2 linked regions of the Arabidopsis thaliana genome follow. The protein of the gene in region 1 interacts with the protein of each later gene in a pairwise test. Each region holds a gene or a part of one and is shown in the gene's direction. Other genes may lie near its edges.

Region 1 (3,754 bases):
CTTGAGACTGTTCATAGAATCAACGTTGGTGGTTCGAAATTGACGCCGTTTAATGATACGTTGTGGAGGACTTGGGTTGTTGATGACAACTATCTTCTCTTGAGAGCTGCTGCTAGACGTGCTTGGACTACTCATTCTCCGAATTATCAAAACGGTGGTGCCACGAGAGAGATTGCTCCGGATAATGTTTATATGACTGCTCAGGAGATGGATCGAGATAATCAGGAGTTGCAGGCAAGGTTTAACATTAGTTGGGGGTTTCAGGTTGATGAGAAACGAGTTCTTCATTTGGTTCGTTTGCATTTCTGCGATATCGTTAGTTCGTCGCTTAATCAGCTCTATTTCAATGTCTTTATCAATGAGTATCTTGCGTTTAAGGATGTTGATCTCTCCACGCTTACTTTCCATGTGCTTGCGTCTCCGTTGTACATTGATTTTGTTGCGGAGTCTGATCGTTCTGGAATGTTGAGGATTAGTGTTGGACCGTCTGATCTTAGTAATCCGGCGAGAGTTAATGCTCTATTGAATGGAGTTGAGATCATGAGGATTTTGAGCCCTGTGAGTTCTGAAGTGGTATCTGGAAAGAGGAATGTTGTCTGGATCGTGGTTGGCTCGGTTTTGGGAGGTTTTGTGTTCTTGTCGCTGTTCTTCTTGAGCGTTTTGTGCTTGTGCAGGCGCAAGAACAACAAGACGAGGAGTTCAGAGAGCACGGGATGGACACCTTTGAGGAGGTTTAGAGGCAGTTCCAATAGTAGAACAACTGAAAGAACTGTTAGTTCTAGTGGCTACCATACTCTGAGAATCTCGTTCGCGGAGTTACAATCCGGAACCAATAACTTTGATAGAAGTTTAGTTATCGGAGTTGGCGGATTCGGGATGGTTTTTAGAGGGTCTCTTAAAGACAACACCAAAGTAGCTGTGAAGAGAGGCTCTCCTGGTTCAAGACAGGGCTTACCAGAGTTTCTCTCTGAGATAACCATTCTCTCTAAGATCCGTCATCGCCATCTAGTTTCACTTGTTGGGTATTGCGAAGAACAGTCTGAGATGATTCTTGTTTATGAGTACATGGATAAAGGACCACTCAAAAGTCACTTATACGGATCCACCAACCCGCCTTTATCTTGGAAACAACGGCTTGAGGTCTGCATTGGTGCAGCCAGAGGACTTCATTACCTTCACACCGGTTCTTCGCAAGGAATCATCCACCGGGATATCAAATCCACCAATATCTTACTAGATAACAACTATGTAGCCAAAGTTGCAGACTTTGGACTCTCAAGATCCGGTCCTTGTATTGATGAGACACATGTGAGCACCGGTGTAAAAGGAAGCTTTGGATATCTTGATCCTGAATACTTCAGAAGACAACAGCTCACGGATAAGTCCGATGTTTATTCATTTGGTGTTGTTCTTTTTGAAGTTCTTTGCGCTAGACCCGCTGTTGATCCGTTGCTTGTTAGGGAGCAAGTAAATTTAGCAGAATGGGCAATAGAGTGGCAAAGGAAAGGGATGCTTGATCAGATCGTTGATCCGAATATCGCAGATGAAATCAAACCGTGCTCGTTGAAGAAATTCGCTGAAACCGCAGAGAAATGCTGTGCGGATTACGGTGTAGATAGACCGACAATTGGCGATGTTCTATGGAACTTAGAACATGTGCTTCAGCTTCAAGAATCCGGACCATTGAACATTCCTGAAGAAGATTATGGAGATGTTACCGACCCGAGAACGGCTCGGCAAGGTCTGTCTAATGGCTCGAACATAGAGAGAGACTATGGAGATGGAACTTCAGGCATAATCAGTAGCACCCAAGTGTTCTCTCAGCTAATGACCAACGCTGGGAGATAAATTAAAGTCATTGCTATATAGAGCAAGTATTTATCATAGTCATAGAGTACAATACCTAAACCGGGAAACCAAAGCGGTGTACCGGTATCTCAGATTCGGTTCGTGTTTGGTATAATTTTGTTTGGTTTCTGTAACTTGTAGAGCTATGATTGTTCATTTGATATGGATGAATCATAAACCGTTAAAACCAGTACATTATTTGGTTAAATATTAAACCGGTTAAGAGTGGAGAAATTAAAAACCGGAATCTCAAAAGTTCTTGATAAACCGTAAACCCTGTGAAGCCACAACGCTCAGAAACATTTCTGTCTCTGTGGAGACAGCTGAAGAAGCAGCAGCACTATCAATGGCGTCTCTGAGATTGTTCTCAACGAATCATCAATCTCTTCTCCTTCCATCATCTCTCTCACAAAAGACTCTAATATCTTCACCAAGATTCGTCAATAACCCTAGCAGACGGAGTCCAATACGATCCGTTCTTCAATTTAATCGCAAACCGGAACTCGCCGGAGAAACGCCGCGTATCGTCGTTATCACCTCCGGAAAAGGCGGTGTTGGAAAGACGACAACCACCGCAAATGTCGGTCTCTCTCTCGCTCGTTACGGTTTCTCAGTTGTCGCCATTGACGCCGACCTTGGTCTCCGTAACCTCGATCTCCTCCTAGGGTTAGAGAATCGAGTCAATTACACTTGCGTCGAGGTTATAAACGGAGATTGTCGTCTCGATCAAGCTCTGGTACGTGATAAGCGTTGGTCGAATTTCGAATTGCTATGTATATCTAAACCTAGATCGAAACTTCCGATGGGATTTGGTGGTAAAGCATTGGAATGGCTTGTGGATGCGTTGAAAACTAGACCGGAAGGTTCACCGGATTTCATCATCATCGATTGTCCTGCAGGAATCGATGCCGGATTCATAACCGCCATTACTCCGGCGAATGAAGCAGTTCTGGTAACAACTCCGGATATAACAGCGTTAAGGGATGCTGATAGGGTTACGGGTTTGTTAGAATGCGATGGAATCAGAGATATAAAGATGATTGTGAACAGAGTGAGAACTGATATGATTAAAGGAGAGGATATGATGTCAGTGTTAGATGTGCAGGAGATGTTGGGATTGTCATTGCTTGGTGTAATTCCTGAAGATTCTGAGGTTATTCGAAGCACGAATCGAGGGTTTCCGCTTGTTCTGAATAAGCCTCCTACGCTTGCGGGATTGGCGTTTGAGCAGGCGGCTTGGAGACTCGTTGAGCAAGATAGTATGAAGGCTGTTATGGTGGAGGAAGAACCTAAGAAACGTGGCTTCTTCTCTTTCTTTGGCGGCTAAATGGCAAACGGATCGAACCGAACCGAACGGTACTGAACTGAACTGAAACTTCTTCCTCGGGTATGTATGCATTGAAATCTTTTGTACAGGAGCTAGAGATTTTTGAAGATTTTGTCTCTTTTGCTTTGAGAATTTAGATTTGTTCCTAGGACAATGTGGAATTCTACTGCTAGTTTGTTGCTGAGTTCAAGCTCTGATTCTTATGCCTTTTGTTCTTGAGGTTCTTGATTTCTGTTTCTGTAATCTGTTTATGTTAAAATTGAGAGTTTCCAATATATCTCAAGTTCTTATGTCAAATCGTTATGATGAGAACTTCAATAGCTTAGCTGATCTTATCAGAACTTTTCGCGAGTATGAATTCGGTAGCTACTGGTTTGGTGATGATTTTGCTGGCCCTTTTGTACTATGTAGGCTTGAGTACTAGTGCTGTCTAGCTTGGTATTATGCCATTTGATTCTCTACCTTCTTGATTTATCGATATGGCGGTGTCGATTAAGTTCCCGAAATAGAAATGATTATGTGATACTGAAGCTCTTAGAGGGCTTAGCTGATAGTAGAACCAACATGATCGCGTATCAT
Region 2 (3,754 bases), on another chromosome or scaffold:
AAGAATAGCAGAACCATATTGAAAGACAACCATGAACTTGCAGTTGCTTACACTCTCCCTCTCGTCCAAACTCTGAAGAAAGGTAACAAAGATAAGGTAACCAAAGGCATGCCATTTGCATTATACTCAATAATCAACAGATAAGTAAACATAGCTAAACTGTTTCTGAATAAAACTTACATAGATTCCAGAAGGGGTAAAATCCGAAAATTTGAGGGCAATATAATTAGTAGAACGTGAAGTAGGAGGAACAACATTGCATAAGTTCTCAGCTTGCATTGCCTTCAAATCAATACTGCCAAAACCATAGTTCTGAGAAACCAAATTATAAATGAAAAACACATAACAGACTTCAACTTTCAAACTGTAAAGATTCCAAATTCAAAACTTTCACTAGTGAGTCCCAATACCAAAGATGTACATACCTAGTACTGAGAAAATAGGCTTTGATAGGGATTTTGCCTAGTGCTTCCTCTGCCTCTGTTCCAAATTCATAGTTTTGATATGCATCATTCGACCCAGAATCAGAGTCATTGTTGTAAATCGAAATCGGAGAAGGGAACGCTGAAAAGTGTCGGAAATTGAGAAAGCGAGAAGCTAAACCAATCGTTGGGTGTTTCGAAACACATGGAGAAGAAGAAAGGTTTAGTCTTTTTGAAGAATTGAGTAATTGATTACGAAGAAGAAGAGCAGCTACTGCTCTCCATTTACCCATTCAATGAAATCAAAATTGAAATTTTTTGTCCTCTGCACCAGAATCTCTCGACTTATTATATTAGTCAATTTGTATTTTGGAGAGATTGTCTTTTGATATCGAAAGATATTTGGTTACGAAGAAGCCTTGGTTCTCGCCGCCGGTGACCACAGTCCCCTAATCAAATGATCGTTTTACTTGTTTCAAAACGACTGTGTTTTTTGTTTAATTAACTAAAACGACAGCGGTTCGTTTAATAAACTTGTTTCAAAAAGTTTAAAACCCTCTTGTAGCATTTTCATATTAAGCCAAAACAAAAACCTAAAACCCTATCTTGGAAAAATGTTAAGTTAGAAAAGCCCTAATCTTGTAGCCTTGGTTTTTGAAGTTTAGAAGAATGACGAATGTCTAGTCCTTACCAAGTGTTATGGGATTGGAAAATTCTCTAGGGTTTCAATTTTTTTCCGAGATCAATGCGATTTATTTGTAAAAGTTGGAACAAGTTTATCAAAAAGATCATAATTATTGATAAAACACCAATAACCCCGCATATAGTCAATTTTGCAGATTTCTTATAAATTAAACTTTAAAAAATAATTTTATAATCCATCAAATTTAAATACTATTTTTTTAGAAGGTCCAATATATAGTCAAACTCTACTATATAGGGTAACGCGACTTAGTGGAATCGAACCTCGATAGAAAGACGAAATCAAATGAACTTAACCACTTGACTAAAAGCACATCTCTCAAATCTAAAAACTACTTATTCGTGGTTTATCTATAAAACTTGAAATATTTTTGTCAAAAGATCATATTTTTAATAAAACAGCAAGAATGCAAATAGTCATCTTTACGGATATTTTGTTAGATTGAAGTTTAAAGAACAAATATTACAATCCATCAAATCTGAAAACTACTTATTAGTTATTTGTGGTTGCCTACAGCTTTACCAATAATGTGATTTTTTATAAAGCTTACATTTTGCTTATAGAAAACCTTTGAATGAGTTATAGAAAACCTTTGAATGAGTTGGTACTATTGTCGTCATTCTTCTAATTTCTAAACTTCAAACACCAAAAGTTGCAAAGTAGTTTTTTTTTGTTGTTTTGGTTTAATATTAAAATAGATGATACGACATCGGTTAGGCAGTTGTTAAAACGCTGTGTTTCAAGCCTTTAAACGACAGCGTTTCTTAAAGTGCTCGATAGCCTTTTACTTTGTAAGAAGAGTCGTCGTAATCTCATTTCTCTTTTAACTGAGACGAAAAAGATTCACTTCTCCGGCGAGCAATTTCAAGTTTCTCGGTAATGGCGATGTCTTCTGGAACTCTCAGGATCTCTGCGACCTTAGTATCTCCTTATCATCATCACCACCGTAATCGCCTCTCATTACCTTCTTCTTCTTCCAAGGTCCGATTTTCTTATAATTCTTACTCTACGATTCAAATTTTCTCTTCGCTGCAATTTGGGATCTGGAGCTCGTGAAATTCGCCACCAAATTAGGAGAACTTAGATTACTAGCTTCGATCTTTCGTTTCTATGTCTGTGTGGTTTAGGAAGAATCTGAAATGCGTCTTTTATTGGAACAATTTCACAATTTCTCTCTAGCTCTAGATTTGCTTGTTCATCGCGAGCTCCTGAAAGTTTATCATTCCAGTTTCTGTGTTTTTACTTAGGCACTTGGAAATGAAGGATTTTAGTAACAAAACTTAAGTATATTTGTTTTTAGGAAAGCCAACGAATCCATCTCCATGACCATCCTCCTTTTTTGTAGTTTTGATATTTTCTTTATCTTGTAGCTCATATTAAGTCTTTATAGTATGGAAGTGGTGTCTTTGATTACTGAGAGCGAGACTGGACCGGTCTTCTGTTAGATATGTGCGGATGTTTGTGGTGCTATGACCTGATGTGTTGCAATTTTGTTACAAAACCATTTCATTAAGTTTAAGATGAGCTTTGATGTTACAGTTGCTTCTTTACCTATAGATGATCAAAGAGAGTGAATATGTTCTTAAGCTTGTAGCTCATATTAAGTCTTTTTAACAATGGTGGTGGTGCCTTGGATTACGTAGACTAGACCGGTCTTCTGTTAGATATATGCAGATGTTTGTGGTGTTTATGACCTGATGTTTTGCTACTTTGTTAGAAAACATATACGTTTAGGTCAGCTTTGATGTTATAGTTGCTTTACCTATAGATGTACGATAACAATTACTGAGTTCTCAAAATGCAACTAGTCTGAAATTACAGTCCCTTTTTGCGGGTGATGGATGTAAATTTGCAGGTTGATTTCACGGGATTCATAAGCAATGGCGTAAACAGTTTGGAAACTCAGAAATGTACTCCTGGACTGGCGATCAGCCGCGAAAACACACGAGGTCAGGTGAAGGTTCTTGCAAGGAACACCGGAGACTATGAACTATCACCAAGCCCAGCAGAGCAAGAGATAGAGAGCTTTCTCTATAATGCCATCAACATGGGTTTCTTTGACAGGTTAAACTTGGCTTGGAAGATAATATTCCCATCTCACGCATCAAGAAGAAGCTCCAACGCAAGAATTGCAAAGCAGCGGCTCAAGATGATCCTCTTCTCCGACAGGTGTGATGTTAGTGACGAAGCTAAAAGGAAAATCGTCAACAACATTATCCATGCACTGTCGGATTTCGTAGAGATAGAATCAGAGGAAAAAGTTCAGCTAAATGTTTCCACGGACGGTGACCTTGGGACCATTTACTCGGTCACGGTGCCTGTTAGAAGGGTGAAACCAGAGTACCAAGACGTGGACGAGGCTGGAACCATAACCAACGTGGAATACAAAGATACCCGTGATGGTTCTGTCGATGTCAGGTTCGATTTTTATGTTCCAGAGTGATGAAAAGGCACAGTCTTAGATTTATTTGCTGGATAGTATCTTGTCTGTTATGTTGATGTTCTTCAAGTTTAGTCTGGAGGGAACAAAGACAGTTTCTTGACACTCCCCATGTATATATATATATGCAACTTCTCTTTTCTTATAAGTTTTTTTACTGTGTTTGACACGAGCTGGTCGGCTCAACCT

Evidence for each region.
Region 2: the proteins of MIND (region 1) and MINE1 interact in binary tests that used the Arabidopsis thaliana proteins (3 or more experiments, as listed by UniProt).

Annotation. Positions count from the first base shown.
Region 1 is NC_003076.8:8,114,537-8,118,290, forward strand, and holds MIND (septum site-determining protein (MIND)), read left to right. Parts: upstream 1-2,128; 5' UTR 2,129-2,194; coding exon 2,195-3,175; 3' UTR 3,176-3,551; downstream 3,552-3,754. Other genes in the region: AT5G24010 (Protein kinase superfamily protein), read left to right, coding at 1-1,848. UniProt on the Arabidopsis thaliana protein: Together with ARC3 and MCD1, regulates FtsZ ring positioning in chloroplasts in an ARC6-dependent manner. Calcium-dependent ATPase required for the correct placement of the plastid division site. Inhibits FtsZ filament and ring formation in the plastid.
Region 2 is NC_003070.9:26,082,717-26,086,470, forward strand, and holds the start of MINE1 (homologue of bacterial MinE 1), read left to right. Parts: upstream 1-1,845; 5' UTR 1,846-2,004; coding exon 2,005-2,106; intron 2,107-2,980; coding exon 2,981-3,568; 3' UTR 3,569-3,754. Other genes in the region: RRG (sporulation protein (DUF155)), read right to left, coding at 1-72, 181-295, 426-715. UniProt on the Arabidopsis thaliana protein: Acts as a topological specificity factor during plastid division and specify plastid constriction sites (such as the Z-ring) in a MCD1-dependent manner. Especially involved in epidermal plastids division in a FTSZ1-dependent manner.